4 linked regions of the Elephas maximus indicus genome follow. The protein of the gene in region 1 binds, or shares a complex with, the protein of each later gene. Links are inferred from orthologs where the notes say so. Each region holds a gene or a part of one and is shown in the gene's direction. Other genes may lie near its edges.

Region 1 (7,257 bases):
CTGTGCGGGAGGTGAGATGGGAGACCTGCTCCTACCCTCCGCGGCCTCCTAGCCCCTCCACCCCTGGGGCTCCTGCAGGACCGTGGCCAGGGCAAAGAAGCCCCCTTGCCTTCCTGGCCCCACTCATGGTGGTCAGCTTGCAGGACCTCAGAGACTGAGAGCTTAGGTCCCGCTAGGTGCAGGGTGGGGGGAAGCAAGGAGAGTACTGGAGAGGGTCGTAAGGATGGGGTTGTCCCTAAGGCATCCCCCCCAGTTTGGTTCTCTCTCTAGTACCCTTTTTCTGGGTGGGGCTCCAGGAACCTATCCTAGACTGTGGGGGCTGCCAAAGGTGGGCAGTGGGTGGGAGACCCCTGGGCTAGGGTTTCCCAGGCACCGCCCCCCCCCCGCACCTGCCTGAGACACCAGGGGGCGCCACTCGGCTTGGCTGACACCTACCAGGAAGTCAGTCCTGCAGATGGGGTCACTGTACCTAGACCTCATGTCTTGAACCACTGGCCTTGCAAACCCCTCTCCAGGTCCGCAGTACCTTCTGAGACCCTGCACCTGGGGATATGCCTGCCCAGGACATGCCCTCAGAGCAGGTGGGCCTGTGGGGAGTACAGGCCCAGCACCCTACTCCCTGGGATCCGGTTTCACACAGGAAGGCTTGTCCTCGGCCATCTTGTAAGCAGACACCAGGGGAGTGCTGGCTACTGCCTCCCGCCCAGGGCTGCCCACACCCCAGCCGACCGCAGGGTTCCCCCAAGGAGGGAAGCTTCAAGTGAATTATGTCCGTCATTCCAGAACCCAGTCCTTTAGCCAGGGCATGTGCATGGACAATTGGGCAGCCTGACCCTCCCTCAGGGCCTGACTGTCTGGCACACTTCTAGAGCCCTATGCTGTGGCCCGAAGCCTCCCCTGATCCAGGAGACCCACCTCTCCTCCTACACCCTCCCACCCATCCTGGGAGCCCAGGTTTGCCAAATGGAGGACAAGGGGAGCTGGCCAAGGAGACTACATTTCTTGCTGAAGTCTTGTCCTTTTATCCCACCTTGGATCCCCTCAAGTTCTCCGAGTCTCCCCCAGTTACCCCCAGTGTCTCCCAGGCTCTCTCTGTCCCCTCAGCTCCCCCATTTCCCCTAGTCCCCTCAGCCCCCCAGTGTCCCCCAGGCTCCTACAGCACCCCTTGTGAGAGCCTCTGGAGACTGGGGATCACCTGGCTAACCCAAGGTGACATTGCTCTGGGAATTGTGGGTCCCTCACAGGTGAACTCCAGCAAGAACCAGGGCCCCATGGCCAGCTCTGCTCCCCAGTTTTGGTCCCACCCACTGGCCTTATGGTATTCTCTGCTATCTCCTCGGGAGGGGCTAGGCCTGGCCAGTGCCCTGGGGAGGGTGATGGGGGGGCCTTGGGGAGGCAATGAGGCCCTCATGGGCAGGAGGAGGAAAGTGCTCCTCATACCCCTCCTTCCGGAGCCAGTGAGGCTGCCTACAAAGGCTGACCGCCGGGTCCTTTGAGGCCGGAGATAACAAACCCTCCCGCTGGGACCATGGCCACTGGTAAACAGAGCTGTCCTTGAGGACTCCTCCAACAGCTGTAGGCACAGTGGGTGGGGCTGGCCAGCACTCCCACAGCCTGGACACCAGATCCAGGGCTTCTTCTGCCTGGGCTTCCCTGCTTCCGGCCATTGCTGCTCTGTGTTCCACCAACCACAGACCCCTACCTGGCCCAGGTCCTAGCAGCTGCCCTCCTGCCCACACTGCTCATCTCTCCAGACTGGGGCCCCACGGAGGGCTCCGGGTGGGGAACTTTGGAGCTTTTCGCCACCAGCTCTGTGTGGCAGCCGCAGGCCCCCAGCCTCCTGTCCCAGCCAGCATTGACCATACCCGGGCACTGTCGGGGAGAGGACACCTGGTCCACCGAGGGCGCTGGGGTTCACTCCCACAGCCTCTGTGTATCACCTGCAAAACGGGGGTGACATGCAGACCTCATAGCCCCAGGAGAACCTGTCACAGTTACCAGTGGCTTTTTCCAGTGCACAGCCTAAGGGGCAGAGACATCTTTGAAAACAGGCAGGAATGAGGGGTCCAAGTACCTTCAAGAGCAGCCCCAGCAGGCTGAGTGAAGAAATCAGAATTCTCCCCGCCCCCCTTCTTCCCCCTGAATTTGTGACAACTCGTGTTTTGCCTACTGCTTGGACACCTAACCACTTGGCAACCAAATCGAGGGGAAGCAATGGGCACCATGAGGACCCTAGGACTGGGGCGACACTTCCTACGCACCAAGAGATCCTGCCTGCGATGGGTGATTAACAGAAGCCAGACCTGCCTTCCCAGGTGGCGAGTGGGGAAGGAGTGGTCCCCCAGCCCTGCGAGGACTGTTCAGCACATTGATAGACCAACTCGCCCCCAGGCCAGGACAGTAGATCCAGGGTGAGCGAAGCTGCAGACTCCTCTCAATGGGCATAAACGCTGGCTGGCCTCTAGGCTGGGCTGCTGCTTGTCCTGGAGATTTTGACCCAAAGATAAGCTGTTTCTGTCTTTGAAACCACCCAAGAATGTGTTTAATTAAGCCTGAAGAAGGGTTAGCATTCCCCCCTCACCCCCGCCTCCCCCCCGAAGAGAGAAATAGAGCAGCAGGTATTGCCCAGGACACCCTGAGTCAGGAAGCTGAGGGGGTGAGAAGTTCAAGAAAACCAGAATCCAGAGAACCCCTGACCCCCCACCTGGCCACGGCAAGAGAGGCTGTTCAGGGCAGTCCTGACTGTATATCTTGTTTTTAAAATTTTACAAACATATAATGCAAATGCGTAGTTCAAAAGAAAATGATTAAAGGTGCAATCACATGTAATTTAACTAGTATTCCTTTATAAGTCCCCGCCCCCGCCCCCCATATAAATCAGAGAGAAATAAAAGCTCTTCTCAGGTCAGGCGCGCCGAGCCCTGGTTGCGGCTGAGCCGTGGAGCCGTGACGATCCCATGCTCACCGAGGGAGGTCCCGCGCCCTGACGCCGCCCTGGTCTCCAGGCAGCCCGGTGCGCTCTGGGCACAGACACCAAGGCGACGGGCGCCGGGCCAGCGTCTCTACAAACAGCCCGCGCGCGGCTGCCAGGGGTAGGGCCCCGGGCCTTGGCAGGATCCGCGCGTCCGACTCGCTCCCCGGGAGCAACTGCGGGGGAGGAGGAGGAGGCGGCCCTGCGCCAGACCTCGGCCACTCCGCACCCAAGGGCGCTGCGCCTTCAAAGGCGGCCGTCCGGGCAGGGGCCGGACTGGGGCCCGGGCGCGCACCTCACAAGGCTGTGAGGGTCGCGGGGCGTGAGGAGCGGGCAGGACAGGAAGCCTCTCGCCACATCCCCCTTGGTCTCCACTGTCGGGGCGCAGGAGAGACAGGTCCCCTCCTCCGCCAGCACTCCTGTCCCAGCGCCACCGCCCCTTTGGCGCCTGCAGCTTGTTTATTTTTTAGCGTCAATGACAACACGCCCCTTCCTGCTTGCGGACCTCCGGGGCTCGCCCGCGCCAAGACCTCTCCAGGGTGGCCCGGGCCCGGCGCGCTCGCCTCCCCGAACCCAGCCGCGCCCACCCCCAGGGCTCCGGCACAGCGCGGACAACTGGCCCACTCATGCCGGTTCCGTGACGACCGAACCGAAGGAGCCACCCTCGAGAAGGCGCCCATGCCGGGCCCAGGGGCGGTCCGACTCGCCCCCGAGGCCAGCGCGGCGGGCTCTCCACGACGCCGCACGCGGGGCTGCAGTGACGCGCTCCGGCGCTCGCGCGAGGGCCCCACCGGCCCGGTCCGGACTCGAGGCGCCGCCCTTCCTGCGTTCCCCGGGCCCGGACCCTCCTCAGCCTCCGCCCCGGGCCTGCCCGCAACCGTGCCGCCCGGGTCGGGCCCTGGAGCCCGCCGCCGGGCCGGAAACCGGCGCCCCGACCGGAGTGCGCGCGCCCGCAGCACGCGCCCGCCCTTCCGCGCGCGGCGCCCGCTGCATTGCGGCGGTTACCAGGACGCTAGCCCCGTTTGGCCAATAGCACCAGCCCGTCGCCGTGCACCCCGGCGACAGCCAATGAAAGCACAAATCAATCATTTGAAACACCCAATGGGCAGAGCACTGCGGCGCGATGGGGGAGGACTTGGATAGGGAGAGCGCAGGAAGCGGCTGACCAATAAAGAGCGCTCCGCCGTGGGAAGGCGGGCCTTAGGCGGCTCGATGGTCGGGGTAGCAGCCAATCAATCGAGGTCACTTGCCAGCCTCGTTCTGGAAGCCCAATACGACGCCGGCGGGGGCGGGCGCCGCGTATATATAAGGGTTCGCGCAGCGTCGGTTGTAGCAGTCCGTGTGCCCGCTCTTCCATTCCCGGTTTGGACCTGCTGCCCGCGCCGCCGCCGCCGCCATGAGGGAGATCGTGCACCTGCAGGCCGGGCAGTGCGGAAACCAGATCGGCGCCAAGGTAGGCGGGGGGCCGCGGGGGGGGCGCCGGGCGGGCGGGCGGGCGGGCGGGCGGGCGGGCGGCCGGGAAGATGGCGGCGGCGGCGGCGGCGGCGGGCGGGCGGCGCCCCCGCATTGCGGCCCCGGACTGCGGCCCCGGACTGCGGCCCTCGGCGCCCGCCCTGCGGGGGTCGGCAGGTGCGGGGCGGGGCGGCGGAGGAGCCGGGCGGGGGCAGGGCCGCCTCCCTGCGCACCGGCCGGGCGTGACTCAGCCCCGCGCCCGCCCGCCGCCTCGCAGTTCTGGGAGGTGATCAGCGACGAGCATGGCATCGACCCCACCGGCACCTACCACGGCGACAGCGACCTGCAGCTGGAGCGGATCAACGTGTATTACAACGAGGCCACCGGTGAGCCCCCAGGTCCCCCGCGGCCCCCCGGCGCCCCCAGGCCCCCCCCGCGGCCCCCGGCCCCCCCCGCGGCCCCCCGGCGCCCCCCCGCTCCCCCGCCCCCCGCCCCCGCCGACGCCCTTCCCGCCCCCCCCCAGGTGGCAAGTACGTGCCCCGCGCCGTGCTGGTGGACCTGGAGCCGGGCACCATGGACTCTGTGCGCTCAGGGCCCTTCGGGCAGATCTTCCGCCCCGACAACTTCGTCTTTGGTGAGCAGGGTGGGGCTTGTGTGGGTGGCTGGAAAGCCAGGACGGCCATCCATGGGCAGGCCCAAAGGTCACTGTCAGAATCCACCCTCCCCAGGGCAAAAACTAGGCCCCTGGACACGCTTCCCCTGGAGTCACTCAATCCCTTCTCATAAATCGGCTTTGGGAGAAAGGCTCAGCTGTCTGTAGGGAAGGAACGCGCAGGTGTAATCTCTCTGGAGCTAGACTTGTCCTTGGGAATTGGCAGGGCTGCCGTGGGAGGGGCTGGTTTATTGTTAGGCTGTCTCAACTTTGGCCTCTAATTTAACTCCTAACTGGGCAGACTGTAGTCTCATGGTTTTGGGGGCTTGTCTGCTCTGCCCACAGGACGAACTTTGTGTGCCACCTCACACCACATTATCTGGCTCTTTTGGCATGGACGCAGATGATCTGTGGTGGGAGTGCCTGGCTGAGAATGACCAGCAGCTGTTCTCCCTTGCAGGTCAGAGTGGTGCTGGGAACAACTGGGCCAAAGGGCACTACACAGAAGGTGCAGAGCTGGTCGACTCGGTGCTGGACGTTGTGAGGAAGGAGGCCGAGAGCTGTGACTGCCTGCAGGGTTTCCAGCTGACCCACTCCCTGGGTGGGGGGACTGGGTCTGGGATGGGCACCCTCCTCATCAGCAAGATCCGGGAGGAATACCCTGACAGGATTATGAACACCTTCAGTGTGGTGCCCTCGCCCAAGGTGTCAGACACGGTGGTGGAGCCCTACAACGCCACCCTCTCGGTGCACCAGCTGGTGGAGAATACAGACGAGACCTATTGCATTGATAACGAAGCTCTCTACGACATCTGCTTCAGAACCCTAAAGCTGACCACGCCCACCTACGGTGATCTGAACCACCTGGTGTCAGCTACCATGAGTGGGGTCACCACCTGCCTGCGTTTCCCAGGCCAGCTCAATGCTGACCTGCGGAAGCTGGCCGTCAACATGGTGCCCTTCCCCCGCCTACACTTTTTCATGCCCGGCTTCGCCCCGCTGACCAGCCGGGGCAGCCAGCAGTACCGGGCCCTGACCGTGCCCGAGCTCACCCAGCAGATGTTTGATGCCAAGAACATGATGGCCGCTTGTGACCCCCGCCACGGCCGCTACCTAACGGTGGCCGCCGTCTTCCGGGGCCGCATGTCCATGAAGGAGGTGGACGAGCAGATGCTGAACGTGCAAAACAAGAACAGCAGCTACTTCGTGGAGTGGATCCCCAACAACGTGAAGACGGCTGTCTGCGACATCCCGCCCCGCGGCCTCAAGATGTCTGCCACCTTCATTGGTAACAGCACGGCCATCCAGGAGCTGTTCAAGCGCATCTCCGAGCAGTTCACGGCCATGTTCCGGCGCAAGGCCTTCCTGCACTGGTACACAGGCGAGGGCATGGACGAGATGGAGTTCACTGAGGCTGAGAGCAACATGAACGACCTGGTGTCCGAGTACCAGCAGTACCAGGATGCCACAGCTGAGGAGGAGGGCGAGTTTGAGGAGGAGGCCGAGGAGGAAGTGGCCTAGGGCGCTCTGCTAGTGGGGAAGCGTGGAAGCGGTGTGAACTCTTTATTCATTCACAACCTGTTCTGATACCATGTTTCACTGTCTCACTTGCTGTCCTTCTGTCTCTCCTTACATGCTGTACAGACATCTCCATTAAAGCGTTTTCATAGTGTGCGGCCCCGCCTCTCTGTTTCCTTCTGATAGGCCTTCCGGGTGCTGTTGCCAAATGTGAGCGCATAGCTGTCTTGAGTGGCTGGGTAGGGGGACAGGTGCAGCTGAGCCCTGGTCACCTGGCCAGACTCCACTGGCTGGTGAAGAAGTCTGCTTCCTCAAGGAGGACCAGACCCCGGTGTGAGGCAGACCTTGGTCCCAGACTCCACTGTTCAAGTCTAGTCCACGCTGGGGGAGGGATGATGGTGGGTGTGCCCAGTCAACCGCCCCCTCCCTAGGTGCAACTGCCTGAGCTGATGGCCACGTCCCACATCCTGACACCCCGCCCCGTGTACTCACATGGTATAAACCCCATGTAGAAGGGAATCAGGCCTTGGCTGCTGTAGATGGTGTTGCTGGGCCAGTGTGTTTTGGGCAGCCTCTGGCCCAGGGCACAGATGGGGTTCCTAGACAGGAACTGAGTGTAGAGGCAGACCCTGATGCTCTGCAGCCCCCAGCCCCACACCAGCAA
Region 2 (7,013 bases), on another chromosome or scaffold:
TTTCCATGTGTTTATTGGCCATTTGTACCTTGTACTTTTTTTTTTTTTTTTTGGCTTTAACTAACAGAAATTTATTTTCTCACAGTTTAGGAGGCTAGAAGTTGGAATTTAGGGCAGCGGCTCCAGGGGAAGACTCTCCCTCTGTCAACTCTGAGGGAAGATCACTGTCTCTCCTCAGCTTCTGCTCCTCGGTTCCTCGGCAGATCTTCATGTGGCTTGTATCTTCCTGTTTGTGCTTCTTTCTCTCTGCCTAGTCTGCTCTTTTTTTTAATAATTTTTATTGTGTTTTATTTCTTTGTATCGCCATATCTTCCTCTCCATATGGAAGGTGTGTGATTACATTTCTTAGTCCCTCTTTATTATTTTAATGTTGTCTTCTTTTATATAATAACATTGCCGTTACCCTGTGTTGGGCTTTTTTTTTTTTTTTTAATCTCGCTTTGTATTTTTTTTTTTCGGATTTCCCTGTCTGGGTTGACTTCTGGTTGCTCTGCCCAATGTTCTAGTCTTGGGGCGATATCTGATATTATCGATTTTCTAACCAAAGAACTCCCTTTAGTATTTCTTGTAGTTTTGGTTTGGTTTTTACGAATTCCCTCAACTTGTGTTTATCTGGAAATGTCTTAATTTCACCTTCATATTTAAGAGACAGTTTTGATGGATATATGATTCTTGGCAGGCAATTTTTTTCCTTCAATTTTTAAAATATATCATCCCATTGCCTTCTTGCCTGCATGGTTTCTGCCGAGTACTCCGAGCTTATTCTTATTGGCTCTCCCTTGTAGGTGACTTTTCTTTTATCCCTCGCTGCTCTTATAATTGTCTCCTTATCTTTGGTTTGGCAAGCTTGATTATAATATGTCTTGGTGACTTTCTTTTAAGATCTACCTTATGTGGAGTTCGATGAGCATCTTGGATAGATATCTTCTCATCTTTCACAATATCAGGGAAGTTTTCTGCCAACAAATCCTCAACAATTTTCTCTGTATTTTCTGTTATCCCTCCCTGTTCTGGTACTCCAATCACTCCGAGGTTATTTCCCTTGATAGAATCCCACATGATTCTTAAGGTTTCTTCATTTTTTTAAATTCTTTTGTCTAATTTTTCTTCAGATATATTAATGCCAAGTGATTTATCTTCGAGTTCAGAAATTCTAGCTTCTACTTGCTCAATCTGTTCCTCTGACTTTTATTGAGTTATCTAATTCTGTAATTTTATTGTTAATCTTCTGAATTTCTGATTGCTGTCTGTATATGGATTTTTCCAGCTTATTAAGCTTTTCATTATGTTCCTGAATAATCTTTCTGAGTTCTTCAGTTGCTTTATCTGTGTGTTCCTTGGCTTGTTCTGCGTATTGCCTCATTTCCTTCCTGATGTCTTGAAGGGCTCTGTACATTAAACTTCTGTATTCTGTATCTGGTAATTCCAGGAATGCACTTTCATCTAAAAGATCCCTGGATTCTTTATTTTGAGATCCTGTTGAGGTAATCATGGCCTGTTTCTTTATGTGACTTGATATTGACTGTTGTCTCCAAGCCATCTATAAGTTATTGTATTAGTTTATGCTTGCTTACTGTGTCGTAGCTGCTTGCTTTGTTTTGTTTTGGTATACCCCTATGGGTTGCTTGAGTGAGCTAGCTTGATTATTTTCACCTTTGGAGCTCTGGTGTCCTGTCCCCAGCTGGCTAGAGCTGTTATCAGGTATATCAGTCTAGGAGTCCATTTGATTTTCTTGTATGAATTCAGCTCAGGTTTCCAGGTAGCTGCTGTCAAGTGTGTGGTACAGGCTCTGTCGTACAGTCTTAGAGGGGCAGGGGTGATTGGCGTATATACCCATATCTGAGTGCAGCAGGGGGTCATGCTCTGAATAAGGCAGGGGGCTGAGAACCGACCTCCACGTGTCTCTGAGGAAAATGCATTTCTGTTCCCTAGAGCATACTGGTGGGTGGGCTCTGCAGAGGGACCATGGGCACCCAAAGATTTTGTTGTAAGGACTGGGAGGTACCAGTTATCCCTGGGCCCCTGTCGTGGGTGGCTGGGCAACCCAAGTGGAGCCACCAGTCCTTAGGTCCCTGTTGTGGGTAGGTGAGGACCTTGTTTAATAGGCAAAGCAATGTCAAATGTCAAACACCCACCTCTCCACTGCACTGCTGAAATGATTGGAGTTTGCCAACAAGGGCCTATTCTCCGGAAATAGACCCACACAGGTCCATGCAGAAGGGAAAGGTGCTCAAGGTTCTCGGACGGTTTATGCCTGGACAGGAGCCGGTTCTGTCCTGAGCTCCCCCAGTTAATGGAGCTAGCAAGTTATCTTTTCCCCCCAGTTGGAAATTTTTTCCTTCCCCAAGGCCGGGAGGTTGGCTCTAGGAGCTCACCAGGGTCTGTCTCAGGCCCAGGGATTCAGCTGCTGAAGCCGGCTTGGGGGTGGGGTGGGGGCGCGGCAAAATATACGCAAGTACTTAGCTTTTGCTGAGAGTGCCCTTCTCCTCAGGTTCTGGAGGTGTGAGTGGGCTATGTGGCTGCTGCTTCTCCCTGAGAAAACTGGGGCCGAAAGCTAGGACCAGCCCGCCCCCGCTGCCGCCAGTGCCACTCCTCCAGGAATGGTGCCTGAGGGCTCCCTGCGATTCAGGTCCGGTAACTCCTCTCAGCTTCTGACCGGTCTTCCCCTGCCCCTCAATTCGTTGTCTAAGCTTGCCTTTGATGCTCAGGTATCCCAGCTTGTCACAAATATACTTGTTTCACTTGTTTTTTCGGGTCTTTGTTGTAAAAAGGGCTTGATGGAAGCGTCTGTCTATTCCGCCATCTTGGCTCCACCTCCACTGAATATTTTTAATGCACTTTTTCATGTTTGTGTTACCTTTTACAAGAGAATATTTTAAAAGTGAAATAATTTAGTACACATGGCTCCCTCTGCCTTGACTGAAAGAGTATTTCTTCTTCTTGGCTCCAGCCTGCCCAGATTGTGGTCCCGGATCATTAGAGGTTTGCATTGTTTTCTATCCCACATCCCATGGCCTCTCTCTGCTGCAAGTTTACTTTCAAGATAGAACAAATAGATTCCTGGAGTTCCTCTAGTTTTTCTTAAAGGCTTTTGGAAAATACTTTTTCTGAATTGGCCTACTTAAAAATGAATGTCTTCATTTGTGGCAAGCAAGACTACACAGCACACATATTCCTGCTTCTTTAACTTAACTATGTGGTAGAGACATCCTTCTAAGTCAGGATTTTTTTTTTTTTTTTAACAGCTGCAGAATATTTCATTTTATGGATGTACACAATTTATTGAATCAGTCCTCTGTTGGTGGATATTTAGGTGGCTCCTGACTCTTTGCTTAATCAGTAAGCGAGAAGATGGGCCGCATGCTCCGGGAGGGTGAGGCCCAAGTCTTAGTCACTGATGGACTGCAGCCTCCAGCTCAGTGCTTACAATGTGCTCAGTAAAATGTTTGTGGAATAAATAAGTGAAGACGCACTGACCAATGAACTATGCGTGGAGGATTCTTAGTGGAAGCCCCTTAGACAAAGTGCAGACAGGCAATGGGGCCCACTAGTTTAGCCCTGAATCAGACTGAAATTGCATTCCAGCTTTTCCTTGTGGTAGCTGTGGGGCTTTAGGCAGCCATGTAATCTCTCTTTGCTTTAGCGGCCTCATCTGTAAAATGGGTAAAATAAGAGCCCTGCCCCACTGTGAGGACTCAACCAGTGAATACTTGCAAATATCTTAGCGTAGGCCTAGACATCAGTACTCAGTAAGTAGTAGTAGAACGGGGTCATTTCAACTGACCCTAATTGTAAAAATGCAGCAAGGATGATGGCCCTCCTAGGGTGACAGCAGGAATACCAGACCCCTGTGGCCCCTGATTTCGTGGTGGTGGTGGTTGGTTTGATTTGTTTTCATGGGGTCAGTTTTTCTCGTGCAGAATCAGCTGTTCCCTCAAGGAGAGTATTTTTACCCAGAGTCTGTCACCATGGAGACAGTCAACAGTAGGGTATCCAAGACCACAGCACCTCTCCCTGGAGGCCCAAAGTGGACTTCTCAGCACCCTTTTGTCCACAAAATTAGCAGGGTGTCTTCTACTCACTCGAGAGGGCGGCTGAGGAAAGGGCATCCCAAACTTGGCCACTTCATCATACCCCTCTAGAAACCTGAAAGTGCACCAAGTCAAAGGAAGTAAGGGTGAAGCCTTGCCATGTTCGTGAGGGCGTTGAGCCCACAGTCGTACTCCACTCCCAGCTGGTGTATCGAGCCCAAGTATTCCACCCGCGTGCTCACTGGGAACTGGGTGGAAGAGAGAAGGAAGGTAAGAAGAGAGAGGAGGGGGGTAGAGGGTGCAGAGGGGGGACTGGCAGGGAGAGGCAGAGGGAGAGGGTCATCACTGTGTCCAAATCCAGAGCTACAGATGGCTGTGCATCCATCATACAAATGTGGCATCAGGGTCTCTGTGCTCGACTTAGGGGATCATGTTCAAGTCATCACGCTTGTCCCCATTCTGTCTCAAAAATACCATAGCTGTGACATCAAGGAAGCCATGCCTCTCAGGACTGTCCCCAATTCTTCTGCACCTTGATTTGAAGAATGTCCATTCTCCTGGCCTGGTCCTTCCAGAATGCGGCACCTGCCAAGGCAGGCTTGGCACTTCCCTGCCTTGATGTCCAGGGTGGTGCTGCTGCTCTCTGGCACATGGTCCACAACCCTGCCTTCCCATGTATTTCAATTTTTATTTTCCCAGTGGAACAAATAGGCTGCATTCCTTTGTGCTTTAAAGGCCATTGGAAAATACCCTGTCTGACCTGGCCTACTTCAAGCTGAACATCTGCATTTGTGGCCAACAAGACTGAACCATGTATGCAGACACCTGGGTAACCTCCCGAGTTCCTAGGAAATGGGCAAGGAAAAGAGGGTGCGAGAGCACAGGCTTGGGGAATGTTGGTGGTGACCTCTGAGAACCCAAAGAGGCTGCTGTCATGGGAACATTAGCACTGACCTCTCCTCTGGCCTGATATGGCCTATGGTTATTGTTCTCCCTAATTGCACCTGTTGGTGGACAGGTTGTGTAAGGGAAGTTCTAAAGGCAAGAAGGACAAAGGAAAAAGTTGTCTGAGCAGTCCCCTGTGGCTCCTGTGGGTTAGTCAGTCCCCAGGGATATTACGAGCTGGTCTTCTACCAAAAAAAAAAAAGCTACCAAAAGGGATGGCTTAAAGAGTGCAAGGAACAAAGCAGGAGAGGAAGGCCGGAGGCAAGCAGGAGAGAGAAGATGAGGAAGGAAACAGATGCCAACAGTAAGAAGTGGTCAAGTAGCGCCAATCATGGCTCTTCTGAGAGGTCCTGGAGGGTGGTCCCAGCCCATGGGAGGCAGAATTCAGCCTGCCTGCATTGTGCAGGATGCCTGGGGCCCATATTTACTCTTTCTCTACCAATCTTCCAGGGGCCTGAGAGGTGAGGGGCCAAGCAGATGTCTGAGAAAGGGCATCACAGGGTTCTCCAGAATGTTTGGTCTTTTCCAGTTCACCAGAGCCATTGAGAAAACACCCCAGTGCATTTACAGAAAAGAGTACATCCCCTTTCCAGACCATAGGCCTGACCAGATCTCCAGGTGGTACGGAAAGAGGAGAGTGGAGGTAAGAGGGAGTGGCAGCCCTTGGTTCCGATGGCCCCACATAGCCCAGGGAACATGGAACCTACTTCTTGTAGGCCCAGACTGCTCTTAGGAAAACAAGACTTGTCTCACTCGTATCATCCCCCAGCACAGAGGCTGACAGTGGCATTAACTCTTCATTATCCGTGCGAGTAGATGATCTGAGTTGGTGTTGTTAGCTGTGGTCGAGTTGCCCCCGACTCATGGCAACCCCATGCACAATGGAATGAATGCTGCCCGGTTATGTGCCATCTCCGTGATGGGCTGCAGATCAGACTATTGTGATCCATAGGGTTTTTACTGGCCAATTTTCAGAAGTAGATCACCAAGCTTTTCTTCCTAGTCTGTCTTAGTCTGGAAGCTCTGCTGAAACATGTCCAGCATCACAGCAACATGCAAGCTTCCACTGACAGACAGGTGGTAGCTGTATATGAGGTGCATTGGCTGGGAATGGAACCCAGGTTTTGTGTCTCATGGAAAGTGAGAATTCTACTACTGAACCACCACTGTGGCACCTGAAACCAAGAGAAGGGGCTAGAAAGTCCCTGTTGGCCTCTCTCCTCACCCCACCAAGCCCTAGGCTGGGCCACTGTGCCTTCTCAGCACTGCTCTTTCTTGATGGGAAACCCTCCAAGTCACTTTCTCTGGCACTGGGAAGATACTGAGGGGCACCTGGTGATGTACATCTTGGGAACCCCTGCTTCATTGTCTGTGCCCATCCCCCTGTCTCCCTCGGGCATTGTGACCTGACTTATTTATGGAAGCATCACGTGAAATATTGGATCCAGCCAGTATTTCCCAACTGTAGCAGACACAGCCCTCCCTGTCTGCTCCAGACAAGAGGACTGGCATGCAAATCAACATTAGCCTCCCCTGTAAATCAGCCTGGTTCCCCAGGACGCCCTTCCATGGCCAAAGGATTTTCTTAAGAAAATCACTGATTCAGGCGAATGTCCCAGAGCAAAGCAGAACCTGGCTTTCTTCTCCCTGTAAATAACTCCCCCCTCAACAAAGCAATCCTTCTCCCAGTTTCCAGCTGAGGGACCCATAAATCCTTTGTGAGTGAAGACAATTTATGACGTGCTCTCTGATTCTTCCCATAGTAACGGACTGAAATATAAAGTGCAAATGTCAGGCCTGGTATTCAACATCTTTCTCTCCCCTTGGAAATCTGCACTTGGCTGGAATGAGACTTGAAACAAATCAAAGGGCATCATTTCAGATCACAAGGGTGGGCGGCTTGGTGGCATTGACCCCCTTCCCATTCAGCTGGAAGCCCTGACTTTAATTTCAATGTGTCACCATAGTTCATTCTAGGGGTGAATTGACTTGGTATTAGGGGAGGGGTCTTACAGAGAACTGACTTCAGCAATGTTG
Region 3 (7,635 bases), on another chromosome or scaffold:
AGAGTCACTCTGAGTCAGAATCAACTAGATGGCAGAAACAGCTTGCCTTTTTAATCTACTCTTCACACTTTAGCCACTCTCCTCTTCAAAAATGTTCAATGATATCTCATTGCTTAATAGAGTCCAAAATTCTTTAGCTCTAGTCCCAACTCACCTTCTTACATCCCCTAACCACCCTATGCTCCTCCATGCTAACCGGAAAAGCATGATGCGTCATACCTACATGTTCCCATCTTGGCATCTTACTTTGTTCTCTCCACCTGAACACCATTACCTGGCCCATCGTTGCCAGGCTCACCTCAGTTGGGATGCCAACTTCTAGACAGCGTCTATGTATACTTCTCCCAGATTTAATTATCGTTTTCTTTCCTCTGTGGTTTCCCAGTACTTTGCTTTACTCTCTATAATGGTTCTTCTAACATCCTGCCTCAGAAAGTTCCTAGACTTTTCTCCTCAGCCCTTCAGTCTTCTTAGGATTACAAAGTTCAGTTTCTCACAGAGCTTAAGAGGATCTTCACTATGATACCCAAACCCAAACTCATTGCTGCCAAATAGATTCCGATTCATAGCCACCCTATAGGATGGAATAGAACTGCCCCATGAGATTTCCAAGGCTGTTTTTTTAATCATTACAGAAGGAACCCTGGTGGTGCAGTGGTTAAAGCGCTTGGCTGCTAACCAGAAGGTCAGCGATTTGAACCCAGTAGCCACTCTGTGGGAGAAAGATTTGGCAGTCTGCTTCTGTAAAGATTTACAGTCTTAGAAACCCTGTGGGGCAGTTCTACTCTGCCCTGTAGGGTCGATATGAGTTAGAATTGACTGAGTGACAGTGAGTTTGGTTTTTGGAATCTTTACAAAACCAGAGTGCCACATCTGTCTCCCACAGAGTGATGGGTGAGTTTGAACCATCAACCATTCAATTAACAGCCAAGCTCTTAATCATTGTGCCACCATGGCTCCTTACCCTTGGGTTACACATGTTGCTGTTGAGTCAATTCTGACTCATAGCGACCCTATAGGACAGAGTAGAACTGCCCCATAGGGTTTCCAGGGAGCACCTGGTAGATTCGAGCTGCCGACCTATTGGTTAGCAGTGGAACTCTTAAACACAATTGCTTTGCAAACTGCTTGAATCACTGAGGAGCTGTTCCAGGTATTCATGTTCCCTGGATCCAAATTAGTTCCTTTCATGTTGCAGGTTTTCAACAAACATTGGTTGAATGAATAATTGCACAACAGGAGGTTACTCCTAACTTGCTGTTGGATATTGAGTAGCTTTTTTTTTTTAAAGCGAACTGAAGAAATGATAAAGTAAAAGAGCTGAACAGAAGATTTCAAAGGACTTCTCAAGAAGATGAAGTAAAGTATTATAGTGAAATCTGCAAAGACCTGGAGTTAGAAAACCAAAAAGGAAGAACATGCTTGGCATTTTTTAAGCTGAAAGAACTGAAGAAAAAAATTTGAGCTTGGAGTTGCAATAATGAAGGATTCTGTGGGGAAAATTTCCAGAGGTAGCATATGCTCAAGAGCTGATGGTACTGAAGGAGGAAGTCCAAGCTGCATTGAAGGGAATGAGAAAAAAACAACGGTCCAGGAATTGACAGACTACCAAGTAAGATGTTTCAACAAATGGTTGCAACACTGGAGGTACTCACTCATTTGTATCAAGAAATTTGGAAGACAGCTTCCTGGTCAACTAACTGGAAGAGATCCATATTTGTGCCCATTACAAAAAAAGGTGCTCCAATAGAAGGCGGAAATTATCAAACAATATCATTAATATCACACACACACAAGAAAAACAAAAACCTGTTGCTGTCGAGTCGATTACAACTCATAGTGACCCTATAGGACAGAGTAGAACTGTCCCATAGGGTTTCCAAAGAGCAGCTGGTGGATTCAAACTACTGACCTTTTGGTTAGCAGCTGAAAGCTTAACGACTGCGCCACCAGGGAACTTGGGTGGCACAGGGGTTAAAGTGATTATCTCTGCAAACCGACAAGTCAACGGTTAGAAACCACCAGCAGCTCTGCAGGAGAAAGATGTGGCAGTCTGCTTTCGTAGAGATTTACAGCCTTGGAAACCTTATGGAATTGCTACGAGTCAGAATCGACTCAACAGCAGGGTGGAGATGGGGGGGCGGGGAATAATATCACACAGAAGTAAAATTTTGCTGAAGATCTTTCAAAAGCAATCGCAACAGTACATCGACAGGGAACTGTCAGAAGTTCAAGCCGGATTCTGAAGAGGGCATGGAACGCAGGGTGTCATTGCTGGTGTCAGGTGGATCTTGACTGAAAGGAGAGAATACCAGAAAGCTGTTTACCTGTGTTTTGTTGACTATGCAAAGGCATTCGACTGTATGGATCATAACAAATTATGGATAACACTGTGAAGAATGGGAATTCTAGAATGTTTAATTGTACTCACGCAGAACCCATACATAGACCAAGAGGCAGTTGTTCAAAGAGAGCTAGGGAATGCTGCGTGGCTTAAAGTCAGGAAAGGTGTGCGTCAGTGTTGTATCCTTTTGCCATACTTATTCAATCTGTATGCTGAGCAAATAACCTGAGAACCTGAATTGTATGTAGAAGAATGCTGCATCAGGATTGGTGAAAGACTCATTAACAACCTGCAGTACGCAGATGACACAACTTTGCTTGCTGAAAGTGAAGAGAATTTGAAGCACTTACTGATGAAAATCAAAGACTACAGTCTTTAGTATGGATTGCACCTCATCATAAAGAAAATAAAAATCCTCACAACTGGACCAGTAAGCCACATCATGATAAACGGAGAAAAGATTGAAGTTGTCAAGGATTTCATTTTACTTGGATCCACAATCAACTCCCATGAAGTAGCAGTCGGGAAATCAAATGACGTATTGCATTGGGCAAATCTGTTACAAGAGACCTCTTTCAAGTGTTGAAAAGCAATGATGAGGCTTGAAGGACTATGGTGTGCCTGACCCAAGCCGTGGTATTTAAAGAAAGTTGGACAGTGAATAAGGAAGATCAAAGAAGAATTGATACCCTTGAATTACGGTGTTGGCGAAGAGTGTTTAATATACCATGGACTGCCAGAAGAATGAACAAATCTGTCTTGGAAGAAGTACGGCCAGAATGTGCCTTAGAAGCGAGGATGGCAAGACTTTGTCTCATGGACTTGTTATCAGGGAGACCAGTCTCTGGAGAAGGACATCATGCTTGGTATAGGGTTAGTGAAAAAAGAGATGGATTGATACAGGGGCTGCAACAATGGGCTCAAGCATAACAATGTTTGTGAAGATGGCGCAGGGCCGGGCAGTGTTTCATTCCTTTGTGCATTGGGTCGCTATGAGTCGGAACCAACTTGACAGCACCTAACAACAAGTCATTTAAAGCACTTAGAGGAAGAAGGATATTTATATTAACTACCTAGTAAATTCTATTTTAACTATTTAAAAAAAATGTGAAATAGTATTCTCTAGTCCCTCTGGATTTAACAAAGTTTTCATAGTTTTTTGTAAATACTGTCCATTTCCATTGCCATCGAGTTGTTTCCGACTCATAGCGACCTTGTAGCACAGAGTAGAACTGCCACGGGGTTTCCAAGGAGCGCCTGGTGGTTTGGAACTGTCGACCTTTTGGTTCATAGCCGTAGCTTTTCACCACTATGGCACCAGGGTTTCCATAAAGAGTGTAGAATCTTGTAAATTACATTCAAATTCCCTAATAGGTGTTGTATATCCCCTATGCGTGTAGACCATGAGACGTAACTATCCAAATACACTTTCACTAAAATTTGACAAAGTAACTCCAACTTAAAAAAAAAAAAAAAAATCCTATTCTTAAAAACAAGTTTTGAGTTTGTCAGAGTATTTAAAAAAAAAAAGCAAACTATGTATTATTGTGTAACAGTTATCTCACAGTTTAATATCTTTACTTTTTAAAGCCTAGCTATTAAAGTTTTTTTTTTTTTTAAAGTTTAAGTGTTGTTAAGGACTTTAATAGGTTTCTGTAGCACAGCTGCCAAGTTATAACTTTCCAGAATTTAAAGTAGTTCTTTAGTGCTAGAAGAACTACATGTACTGAGGGTGTGCTTGCACTAGGGAAGTCCTAAAAGTGGTCACCACCAGAAAAAAAGTTATTTATTCCCTGATGAACCACAAAACCAGGAGGTCAGTGACCAGGAAAAAGCTCGTGGCTGAAACCATCCTAAGGGATTGCGTTGCTTAGGAAATCAGTGAGAAGTTGGTGAGCATTTGGTCTCTTGCCCAAGGCCATATTATTCAAGTGTTCTTGCCAAATTAGCCCATTTCTGCCTCTGAAAGGATAGAAGCCGCCCCACACACCCGGTGAAGATTGTTCCACTCAATCTCATCCTACACCCAGAGAAGCAAATCCATAGTCGGCGCACGAGCACACACACACACACACACACACACACACACACAAAAAAAAAAAAAAAAACGGGGAAAAAAGCAAGCGGAGAGGTAAAGAGTTGCAGAGTGGGGACCAGCAGGAGCAAGAATTGCGCGCCAAGCCCCGCCCCTGTTTCCTAGGTAACTGGGTAAACAGTCCTCCGTCTACTTTTCCCTGTGAACTCAGCTAGATGTTAAGTGGTGGGCAGAAACAGTGGGCAGGGAGTCCGAGTGGGGATGTGCTCTTTTGTGAGAGTGGGGTCCCCTAAGGGAATGAAGTCCCCCAGGGAAATGAGAACTTCCCTTGAGCCAGGCGCAGCTTTCCCACTAGAGATGAGCCCCTTTGGTGGAATGAAGGTGCCTGGCGGGACATCTCTGAGCGCGGAGGTCGGGCTCACCCACCCAGGCAAGGATGATTTAGGAAACAGGAGGGTTCTCATGGGAACACAATATCCCACGGAGTTGGGGCTTGGAGTAGGGTTAGGAAAAGAAGAATCCCGATGGGGAGAGAGCCCCATGGTTAATACTAAGTATGAGAAGAGGATGGAGCCGCAAGAAACAAAATCTCCACTGAGCAAGGGCCTTGAAATAGGATTAGAAAAACAGAATATTTCTGGGCTAGAGTTGAAAATCCCCACGAAGTGGGATCATTTAGGAGTGAACAAGGTCTCAGTCTCTCAGGAAACAAAACCTTCTCTGGGAATGTTGCCAGGAAGAATGGGGTTAGAAAATAAGTGTCTTCTGGCAGGATGTCCCCATGGAAGGATAATACAGCCTCCCTTGCATATGGAGTGCGGAAGTCCACAGGTTCTAGAGAGCAGGAGAGGGCCTGTGGCTAGTGCCCTTGAAGGGACAGAGGCGTCAGTGGGAAAGCAGCCTGCTTTGGGTATTGAACCTAGACAGGAACTGGAGAAAGACTCTGCCTGTGTTTTGATGAAGCCCAGTGCAGAGATGATGCGTCCAGTGGATGTGGACACTGGGCTACCCCAACCAGAGGAGCCAGAGCCCCAGATGGGCTTAGTGATAGAACCCCCTGTATGCCAGTTTGCCCAGCAACCTGAAGAGAAAAAGGAGGAGGTTGAGAACACTGAACTAGGGGTGGAACCTCCACATTGCATCAGACCCATATACTCTGGAAAATTTTTTGATCGAACGCCTCACTGGCCAAGTGTAAGTATTTTTTCCAGTATTTTCTTTGGGAACTATGTGTTGTTAGGTATTTATTGTGATGATAAAGTTATTAGACCTGTTTGAGCTTGTGGAGTGAAATTGCGAAGATTCCATTGGGTTCTGATATCTGTTGCCCCATTGGACTCATTCCACATATTGATCTCCTCTAATTTTCTGACTGCCTTTCTAAATGTCTACATTGTTTGCTGTTTACACCAGTAGTTCTTCCTGATTTCTTCTTCCTTTCTCCTTTGACCATCATTTCCTTCCTCAATCTTAATTTTCTCAACCCTTTCACCAAGATTCATGTTGTGTCGTAACATTCCTATAATGAATGGGGAAAAAATTTTTTTTTCTATTCATTATTTATTCTGAGAGTTATTAGTTCCTTCAATAAAGATTTGTGGCGGTCATTGTGCTAGGAATGTTGTTAGGTGCCGTTGAGTCAGTTCCGACTCATGGTGAACCTGTGTACAACAGACGGAAACACTGCCTGGTCCTGTGTCATCCTCACTATTGTTATTATGCTTGAGCCCGTTGTTGCAGCCACTGTGTCAGTCCATCTTGCTGAGGGTCTTCCTCTTTTTCGCTGACCCCCTACTTCTCTAAGCATGATGTCCTTCTTCATGGACTGATCCCTCCGGATATCACGTCCAAAGCATGTGAAACAAAGTCTTGCCATCCTTGCTTTTAAGGAGCATTCTGACTGTATTTCTTCCAAGACAGATTTGTTCATTCTTCTGGCAGTCCACGGTATATTCAGTGTTCTTCGTCAATGCCATAATTCAAAGGCATCAGTTCCTCTTTGGTCTTCTTTATTCATTGTCCAGCTTTTGCATGCATATCAGACAATTGAAAACACTGTGGCTTGGATCAGGCATGCCTTAGACCTTAACGTGATATCTTTGCTTTTTAACACTTGAAAAAGTCTTTTGCAGCAGATTTGCCCATGCAATGTGTCATTTGATTTCTTGACTTCTGCTTCCGTAGAAGTTGATTATGGTTCCAAGTAGAATGAAATTCTTGACAACTACGGTATTTTCTCTGTTTATCATGATGTTGCTTATTGGTCTAGTTACGAGGATTTTTGTTTTCTTTATGTTGAGGTGCAATCCATACTGAAGGCTGTGTTCTTTGATCTGGATCAGTAAGTGCTTTAAGTCCTCTTCACTTTTAGCAGTCAAGGTTGTGTCATCTGCATATCGCTGGTTGTTAATTAGTTTTCCTCCAATCCTGATGCCCCATTCTTGTTCATATAGTCCAGCTTCTTGGATTATTTGCCCAGCATACAGACTGGATAAGTATGGTGAAAGGTGACAACCCTGATGCACACCTTTCTTGACTTTAAACCATGCAGCATCCCCTTGCTCTGTTTGAATGACGGCCTCTTGGTCTGTGTACAGATTCGGGAAGAGCACAATTAAGCGTTCTGGAATTCCCGTTCTTTATAATGTTATCCATTATTTGTTATGATCCACACAGTCAACTGCCTCTACATAGTCAATAAAACACAGATAAACATGTTTCTGGTATTCTCTGCTTTCAGCCAGCATCCATCTCACATCAGCAATGGTGCTAAGTAGAAAAAAAAAAGGGCAATATAAAATAAATAGCACATGATCTCTACCCTCTAGGTTTAGGTTTTCACTCCAGTGATGGAGACAGACAACTAAGTAGATATTATATAGATGCCTAAATGGATATAAAACAAATGTGATTCTTTCTTCATACAAGTGCACACACAACATAGAACTCAGTAGAAAGACTGAATAATACCGCTTGGAGGAGATGGGCAAGGCTTTACGGAGAAAGTAATATTTGAGCTAATGTTAAAAGGTATCACTGTTAGATGGAAAAATGAGATTAGAGTATCTTGGGCACAGAAAGGCATAGAGCGTGACCAAAGCTGCTTGTGTTTGGGAGACATAAGCAATTCTGTGTAACTAGTATGGTATTGAGAGATAAAGGTAGAGAGGAAATACATGGAAGAAATCTAAAGCTTCCAAATGCAGGGGTAAAGCACATGGATACAGAGTCAGTCGGTGGATCTTAATGAGGGAAG
Region 4 (7,564 bases), on another chromosome or scaffold:
ATCCCTGGCCTTGTTGTGACTATAACATTGAGGTTCTCCATCATCTCTTTCCAGAGATGTAGTCAACTGATTCCTGTGTATTCCATCTGGTGAGGTCCATGTGTATCTGATTCTGTTGGCTCTGACTCACAGTGACATTACAGGACAAGGTAGAACTGCCCCCATAGTTTCCAAAGCTGTAATCTTTATGGGGGCAGACTGCCACATCTTTCTCCCATGGAGTGGCTGGTGGGTTTGTACCACCAACCTTTCTGTTAGCAGCCGAATGCTTAACTACTGTGCTACAGAGTTGCTTCTCCGTGTGTATAGGTGTCATTTACATTGTTAAGAAAAAGTATTTCCAATGAAGAAAGCATTGGTCTTGCAAAATTCTATCATGCAATCTCCAGTGTCATTTTTATCACCAACTCCATATTTTTCAACTACTGATCCTTCTTTGTTTCCATCTTTCACATTCCCATCACCAGTAATTATCAATGCATCTTGACTGCACGTTTAATCAACTTCAGACTGCAAAAGTTGGTAAAAATCTTTCATTTCTTCATCTTTGGCATTAGTGGTTGGTGGGTAAATTTCAATAATGGTTGTATTAACTGGTCTTCCTTGCAGGCATACAGATATCATCCTATCGCTGACAGTGTTTTACTTCAGGACAGATCTTGAAATGTTCTTTCTGAAAACGAAGGTGACACCATTCCTCCTCAATTTGTCATTCCTGGCATAACAGACCATATGACTGCCCAATTCAAAATGGCCAGTACCAGTCCATTTCAGCTCACTAAAGCCTAGAATATTAATCTTTATGCATTTCATTTCATTTTTGATGACTTTCAATTTTCCTTAATTTATACTTCATACATTCCATGTTCTGATTACTCATGGATATTTAAAGGTATTTCTTCTCATTTTGAATCCTACCACATCAGCAAATGAAGGTCCTGAAAGCTTAATTCCATTCACGCCATTAAGGTCGACTCTACTTTGAGAGGGGCCCTGGTAGCTCAATGGTTAAGAGCTATGGCTGCTAACCAAAAGGTCGGCAGCTGGAATCTACCAGCTGCTCCTTGGAAACCCTGCAGGGCCGTTCTACTCTGTCCTATAGAGTCGCTGTAAGTCGGAATTCACTGGACTGCAAGGGTTTTTTTTTTTTTTTCCTCTTCTTCTTTGAGGAGGCAGCTCTTCCCTAGTTGCGTTTTGAGTGCCTTCCAACCTCAGGGGCTCAACTTCTAGCACTATATCAGACAATGTTCTGCTGCTATCCATAGGCTTTCACTATGTTTGTTTGTTTCCAGAAGCCGATCGCCAGGTCCTTCCTCCTGTCTGTCTAGTCTGGAAGCTCCACTGAAATCTGTCCACCATGAGTGACACTGCTGGTATCTGAAATACCGGTGGCACAGCTTCCAGCATCACAGCAACACACAATCTACTACAGTACAACAAACTGACGTTTGTGTTGTAATACACACTTACTTACTCTACATAAAGCAATAGCTGAAGTATGAGAAAAAATGCCTTTTAAAATCCACCCTATATTCTCCATATCATTGTCAAAGATAATACTTCTTTTATTCATAATTTCCAAATAAAAACTAAATACAACTGGCTAAATAACTTTCATCCTAATAAAGTTATTTGCATAATCATGCATTAGATATTAATTTAGAATTAAGCAAAGACTTTTAGATCTCAAGTTCCTGTCTTTTTATGATTTTACAATACGTTTGCTATTCTTAATAATATCCTTGTACTGAAGCAGAATTTTAAAAATTTGCATAATTGTCTTCAAAATAAAGCATAGGCTATTATTCTTTTCCTGTAAAATAATGATACAAATTCTGAGAAAACACCTTTTGCTTGGTTTTCTGATTCAGTTCAGATTTGTGTTTTCAAGTAATTCTTGTGCAAATGCCACCTAAAAAGACTCAATAAGATTCATAACAATGTATCAATTTTTCTTAATTTGATAATTTTTAACAGTCATTCACTAAAATCCATTCCACGCTAGAGTATAAGATGGAAAGCACACCAAGGTTTCACCATTGCTGCAAAAGAAAAAAAAATTTGCAAAGCCAAGGCTAATTAACCACTGTGACTCTCCTAGAGACGAGACCAATGCTTTGCATTTTAACATTCTTTCCATAAATAAAGCAGACTTGGGAAATGCTGTGGGGTAACTACACCTGTAAACCAAACCCACTGTCATCGAGTCGATTCTAACGATAGTGACCCCATAGGACAGAGTAGAACTGCTTCATAGTTTCCAAGGAGTGCCCGTTGGATTGAAACTGCCTACCTTTTGGCGAGCAGCTGTAGCTCTTAACCACTACACCACCAGTGGTGTCCCCAGGTGGTGCAAATAGTTAAGCTCTTGACTAGCAGTAGAAAGGTTGGCAGTTTGAACTGACCCAGGGGTGCCTTGGAAGACAAGCTTCGTAATCTCCTTCCAAAAGGTCACATCCTCTGCACACGTAGGGTTTCCATGAGTTGGAATCAACTAGAGGGCAACTAACAACAGGAAATGCCCATTGCTGTCAAGTCATAGGGATTCTATAGGACAGAGTAGAACTGCCCCATAGGGTTTCCAAGGAGGGGCTGTTATATTCCAATCGCCCATCTTTTGGTTAACAGACGATCTCTTAACCACAGAGCCACCAGGGCTTCACAGACAACCTATGTGTTCCTCCCAAAATCTATGCTGGAATCCTAACCCCTGGACCTGTGGATGTGGTCCCTCTTGGAAATAAGATTTTCTTTGTCATGTTAATAGAGCCATATCAGTGTAGGGTGTGTCCTAAACCTAATTATTTCTGAGTTATAAGAAGAGCAGTAGAGACATGGAAGGAAGCAGAAACAGGGTGAAGACAGATGCCATGTGAAGATTGCCAAGGAACCAAGGAATGCCTCCAAAAACCAGAGGGAAGGCATCCACAAGGTGGAAAACCTAATTTGGAATTTTAGCCTTCAGAACTGTGAGAAAATTAAATTTCTGTTCTTTAAAGCCATCCACTTGTGGCATTTCTGTTACAGTGGTACTAGGAAACTAGGACACAAACTTAAGGTATTTTATCAATCCACCACTCATCTTTCTGAACAGACCACATCCGAACTAATATTTACTTGTTACAATCAAAAACGTGTTTTGTGGTATCCCTCAGAAATAAGCCTAATCTCACACCATACTCCTAATACATAAACTGGAGCAAGTCTTTGTCATACCGAGCCCCTCAAATAGTTGTTTTCTAATCCTACTGTGCATTTCCACAGATTTTCAGGGGTAGCCTCTAAAATAACTTGGCCCTTGTCTCTTAACCCTGGAAGAGAGGACCCTTGCTAATCTAAAACATCACAGTATTTACAAACAACTCTAACATCCACTTCCAAAGCTTCATTCACAAGGCATCTCAGTCATTTTGTGTTTTATATATATATATATTGCAGTTAATGCATTATGCAAATGGCAGAATATTCAAACCTTGCTATTACACTGCTAATTATTCTTTTATCTCAGACTCTCAGGGAGAGGTTTAGAAGAAAATGTCAAGGAAGCAAGTATAAATTCACATAAAGGAATGTTTTGAGCCCAACCATCAGTACCATGTGTTTTTCATTAGAGTTTGATTGTCTCCACGATTCCCCTTAAAGACTTCTACTGAAGGGGTTCCACCGTGTCCTAGGCTGAAAGACAGCCAGCCAAGCTCACCAGAGCAAGGTGAGGGAGGACACCTGGGCGGGGAACGGCGGCGCTCCAGTGACCCCACACGGGTCTTGCAGGGGCGTTTGCAAGGCTCTGGGCGTCGGGGACCCATGTGGCACCAGGAGGAGGGGCGGTCATCTCGGAGGGAGGTGGCAGGCACTAGTGCCCCCTGGCTAGTGTTCCTGACTAGCTCTCTTCGGTGGGAGCCTGCTAAACCAGGCAGGAGGGCGAGGGACCACAGAACACACACTTAGTTTCTGGTCCCCCAACGAGAGTCGCAGGTCCAGGCCGTGTCCCCGGACACAGGAGCCCAGGCAGCGTGGGCACTTGTCTCCTGTCACTGACAGGTGTCACGGCGGGTACCCCCGGGTCCCCTCGGCCCAGGCACGGCATGGCGGCGCACAGACGCTGTACCTGGCAGGCACCACGTACCTATCATGGTCACTGGGCGGGCGGCGGCCGCTCGGCAACAGGGCTCCAGCGCCCGTCGCCCGCCGCCTCCCAAGGCCGCTCTTCCCGGCTGTTGCTCAGATCTCCCCACCCACGCTCTGTTCCCCCGGGACGACCGAATGCGCAAGCGCAGAAGACTACGGCCCGAAGCCTGCCGGGAGTCGTAGTTCCGAATTGCAGTCACGCCGTCGCCCCCCAATCACCTCCTCTCACTGCAACTCTAGCCGGCTCCAGGCACAAAGACGCATGAGCAAAGGAAACGCGTCCCGTGGCCTGCCGGGAGTCGTAGTCCTGACCGGCAGCTACGCCTTCGCCCCGCCTGCCTCCCTGCGGCGACCCTTTCCGGCTTCAAAGCCCAGGCAGCGCACGTCACGACAGGGCGAGGCCGTTCGGCCGCAATGTTGACGCGTCGCTTAGCAACCGCGGGCTTACCTTTGGAAGCTTGTTGCAGCTCTAGCCAAGGTCCTGCGCTCCTCCCGCCCCTCCCCTCCCCCAAACCCTGTTCACCTAGGAGCTGCCAAACATCTGGATCGACCTGGGCACTACGAGGGGTGGAATTTCTATCAGTATTGCGCCTTTTGACATTTTTTCCCGACCTTCTTACATCCGTAGGCCCCACTGATTCTTAATACACTTTTTTTTTTATGAGAACAAGACTTTTCCTAGGAAGATGGTGGCAGAAAAAGAGACCCTGAGCTTAAACAAATGCCCAGACAAGATACCGAAGAGGACCAAGCTGCTGGCCCAACAGCCGCTCCCGTTGCACCAGCCGCATTCCCTGGTTTCCGAGGGCTTCACAGTCAAAGCCATGATGAAAAACTCGGTCGTAAGTGATCTTCCGATTGAATGCTCTCCTCCAAAGCAGGGTACACGAGGTTGTGCAGGCTGGCCCTGTAATGGACCCTGAGCCGTGTCCTGGGTGGTCTTTGCCAAACTGGCAATTATTTGGCCAGTGGGAGACTGTACCCAAGAGTGTGGATGTCAAGTTAGGTTGGTTAGAGAGGATCCTGGGCAAGTGGTGTACCGTCCCGTTTATAAGCACCTTCCTATGCACTCACAGTTTCTAGAGCACCCAGAATTACTCTTAAGCTGTTTATGCGAACAAAAAAGATCCCCTTTATTTATTGGCTACCGAACTAGCTCTACAGGGCAAAGGGCCTTATAGGAGGTGAGTTGTTAGAAATCACAAACTTTTGCAAAATTTAACACGTGCTGATGTACAGCTGAGAACATAAGCTCATTAAATCATCTGTAATGAGAAATTTCATCCACGTAGGTAATTTTGGAATATCTTAGGTTTACTCCAGCAACACCGTTTCTCACAAAATGATATCAGCCTGTTAGAGTACTCAGAGTACCGAATATGAAGTCTATTTCCTGGTAACAATAAGCGATGCTTTTAAAATAATCCAATCTTCAGTTCAAGAATCTCTGACCATTAACCAAAACCGAGCCCGTTACCGTCGAGTCAGACTCGTAATACCCTATAGGACAGCAAAGAACGGCCCCGTAGGGTTTCCAACACTGTGATCTTTTTGGAAGCTGACTGCCACATCTTTCTCTCACACAGTGGCTGGTGGGCTCGAACCACCAACCTTTCAGTTACCAGCCAAACAACCACTGCACCATCAGGGCTCCTTCTGCCTATTAGTACAATTCGTATTTCATTTCCATTTGTGGTAACAAAAATATTCTTAACACTATTAGAAAATAAATTTTTTTTTAATGCACACAAATCCTTTGGCTATATACATGGTAATTTAGTTTAAAAAAAGAAAAAAAGAAAATCTTCCTATTTGTTAAATAGCTTTAAATGTGGTATGCTAAACCAGATTTTACTACTGAGTAAGCACCTGTCTGGGAATGAGGCATTAATAATAAATGTAGCTTTCAAATTTGTATAGTTTACACCCTGGGAGGATCTGATTTATTATGTGTAACTCATTGTGTTAAATGAATAGTGTTGCTTTCCAGTGTGGGTCACATTGTTTGTTTTACTTAAATGTTGCAAATGTGATACCTTATTCCTAAACCACGTCCTTAAATACGTGAAAGAAACAGATTACCTCCAGTCTCCATGTCTGATCCCCACGTTGCTACACAGAGTGGTGTTCTGGTTGTTCGTACTTGTGTGAATTGATTTACAATAGTTGAAATTCTGGGAAATACACTAATAATCCTGCATGTTGTTACTGCAGTCTTTTCATTGTATTTCTTGTGAACTGTTTCTCAGGGTAGCCGGGATGACTCATTTATCAGCCATTCAGAATCCCATAACCATACAAGTGAATCATTTATCTTTTCTTCTATACAGTATTTATAATGATCATTTTGAAGATTTTTTTCCAGTGTTACATTTTAACATCACAGATGTCTAGGAAAAAAAAAAAAAAAAGAGCTCAGATTCTCTTGTTTTTTAAACTGGTGTTCACAAATTCATATATTGTGTGTATTCTTAAACAGCCTTACACCAAAAGTCTCTGTTCTGGAAAACCGAATGTTTTGTCACTAGAAAAAAAAAAAAAAATCCATTGCCATCAAGTCAATTACAACTCATGGCAACCCTGTACGTTACAGAGTAGAACTGCTCCGTAGGGTTTTCTTGGCTGCAGTCTTTACAGAAGAAGATTGCCAGGCACTTCTGCACCTCCGCTGGGTGGATTCAAACTGCCAATCTTTAGGTTAGCAGCTGATTGCACACCGCTTGCACTGCCCAGCAAATATGTTGACAAAACTCAAAGACATCGATTATGAAGTAGCTTTCTTTATAAACAACTAATTTGAGATAAATTATCTTCTTTGCATATTTTTAAAGAAAACTTTTAGTGCACTATCTATGTCTCCACTGGGATCCCAGAATGGAATGGTTCATTTTTTTCACTCCATTTAGCAGAAATCGTAATTCTTAGAAATAAACATTATTCAGTCAGTCTGGGATCAGCAAGTGAACAAAACAAAGTCCCTGTCCCTAGGAAAACCACCACTACCACTTTATCAACAATAAAGTCTTGATAAAACTAGACAGTGCTCTTCATACAAACTAACTTCAGTGGTAAAAGAAAGGAAGTATTTCACCGTTTACCTTTAGCAGCATAGGACTTTTGGCATTTATAAAGTTAAAATATCCCTACATCTTCCTTAAGGTGTATTTCTATTTAGACAACATAATATGCCAATCTCCAGCTTTTCTTAATCGAAACCCCATATTGCGAAAACCAAACCTTCTAACCATTTTTCAGCATTAAGGATTGCATTCAATTCTGTTTTTCAAATGCTGGCTAGTTAGATGAGCTGCCATTCCAGTGCTCCCCACAAAAGATACATAGAGCTGCACCCTCGGGAGTCGTATGACGATTCCTGATATTCTTGTGAGAGTGCCGTAATGATAAGTATAAAAATTTGATCATTGACAAACTTGAT

What was found.
Region 2: the proteins of TUBB4B (region 1) and CFAP107 are in contact, whole or in part, in a cryo-EM structure (PDB 9CPB), measured with the Bos taurus proteins. The link is inferred for Elephas maximus indicus from reciprocal best matches to the Homo sapiens genes TUBB4B and CFAP107. Residues at the interface, in NP_001029835.1 of Bos taurus: Lys19, Glu22, Asp26, Tyr36, Asp39, Ser40, Asp41, Leu42, Gln43, Leu44, Glu45, Glu53, Gly56, Gly57, Tyr59, Pro80, Leu215, Leu217, Thr219, Thr221, Tyr222, Gly223, Asp224, His227, Leu228, Ala231, Gly244, Gln245, Phe270, Pro272; in NP_001033296.1 of Bos taurus: Thr74, Val75, Glu76, Gly77, Leu78, Tyr80, Lys81, Leu83, Ile84, Thr85, His86, His87, Gln88, Glu89, Gln92, Arg93, Tyr94, Leu95, Ile96, Ser97, Thr98, Asp101, His102, Pro133, Pro138, Thr139, Asn140, Tyr141, Leu143, Tyr144.
Region 3: the proteins of TUBB4B (region 1) and EFHB are in contact, whole or in part, in a cryo-EM structure (PDB 7UNG), measured with the Homo sapiens proteins. The link is inferred for Elephas maximus indicus from reciprocal best matches to the Homo sapiens genes TUBB4B and EFHB. Residues at the interface, in NP_006079.1 of Homo sapiens: Asp26, Glu27, Asp31, Pro32, Thr33, His37, Gly38, Asp39, Ser40, Leu42, Gln43, Thr55, Gly56, Gly57, Lys58, Ser78, Gly79, Pro80, Phe81, Gln83, Leu215, Lys216, Leu217, Thr219, Thr221, Asp224, His227, Pro243, Gln245, Phe270; in NP_653316.3 of Homo sapiens: Tyr523, Gly524, Val525, Gly526, Leu528, Ile529, His530, Asn531, Arg532, Tyr537, Arg539, Asp542, Arg545, Ala546, Ala549, Ala550, Arg552, His553, Lys556, Tyr608, Asn624, Phe625, Trp628, Asp630, Lys631, Thr686, Leu687, Leu688, Ser691, Asp692.
Region 4: the proteins of TUBB4B (region 1) and PACRG are in contact, whole or in part, in a cryo-EM structure (PDB 7UNG), measured with the Homo sapiens proteins. The link is inferred for Elephas maximus indicus from reciprocal best matches to the Homo sapiens genes TUBB4B and PACRG. Residues at the interface, in NP_006079.1 of Homo sapiens: Glu194, Phe260, Pro261, Arg262, Gln291, Phe294, Asp295, Ala296, Arg306, His307, Gly308, Arg309, Tyr310, Val333, Lys336, Asn337, Ser339, Tyr340, Phe341, Gln375, Ser413, Asn414, Asp417, Ser420, Gln423, Gln424, Tyr425, Gln426, Asp427, Glu432; in NP_689623.2 of Homo sapiens: Glu40, Gly41, Phe42, Thr43, Val44, Ala46, Met47, Met48, Val53, Arg54, Gly55, Pro56, Pro57, Ala58, Ala59, Gly60, Ala61, Phe62, Arg65, Lys154, Arg160, Arg162, Arg191, Gln192, Pro195, Asn198, Ile199, Phe200, Asn202, Met203.

The regions. Positions count from the first base shown.
Region 1 is NC_064827.1:987,672-994,928, reverse strand, and holds TUBB4B (tubulin beta-4B chain), read left to right. Parts: upstream 1-4,285; 5' UTR 4,286-4,367; coding exon 4,368-4,424; intron 4,425-4,700; coding exon 4,701-4,809; intron 4,810-4,946; coding exon 4,947-5,057; intron 5,058-5,535; coding exon 5,536-6,596; 3' UTR 6,597-6,739; downstream 6,740-7,257. Other genes in the region: protein FAM166A, read right to left, coding at 6,740-6,828, 7,086-7,203. UniProt on the Homo sapiens protein: Tubulin is the major constituent of microtubules, a cylinder consisting of laterally associated linear protofilaments composed of alpha- and beta-tubulin heterodimers.
Region 2 is NC_064821.1:52,599,534-52,606,546, forward strand, and holds the start of CFAP107 (cilia- and flagella-associated protein 107), read left to right. Parts: upstream 1-3,998; 5' UTR 3,999-4,190; coding exon 4,191-4,301; intron 4,302-5,505; coding exon 5,506-5,619; intron 5,620-7,013. UniProt on the Homo sapiens protein: Microtubule inner protein (MIP) part of the dynein-decorated doublet microtubules (DMTs) in cilia axoneme, which is required for motile cilia beating.
Region 3 is NC_064845.1:19,818,783-19,826,417, forward strand, and holds the start of EFHB (EF-hand domain-containing family member B), read left to right. Parts: upstream 1-4,623; 5' UTR 4,624-4,640; coding exon 4,641-5,573; intron 5,574-7,635. UniProt on the Homo sapiens protein: Microtubule inner protein (MIP) part of the dynein-decorated doublet microtubules (DMTs) in cilia axoneme, which is required for motile cilia beating.
Region 4 is NC_064819.1:234,900,629-234,908,192, forward strand, and holds the start of PACRG (parkin coregulated gene protein), read left to right. Parts: upstream 1-4,554; 5' UTR 4,555-4,814; coding exon 4,815-4,970; intron 4,971-7,564. Other genes in the region: PRKN (E3 ubiquitin-protein ligase parkin), read right to left, coding at 4,127-4,133. UniProt on the Homo sapiens protein: Microtubule inner protein (MIP) part of the dynein-decorated doublet microtubules (DMTs) in cilia axoneme, which is required for motile cilia beating. Suppresses cell death induced by accumulation of unfolded Pael receptor (Pael-R, a substrate of Parkin).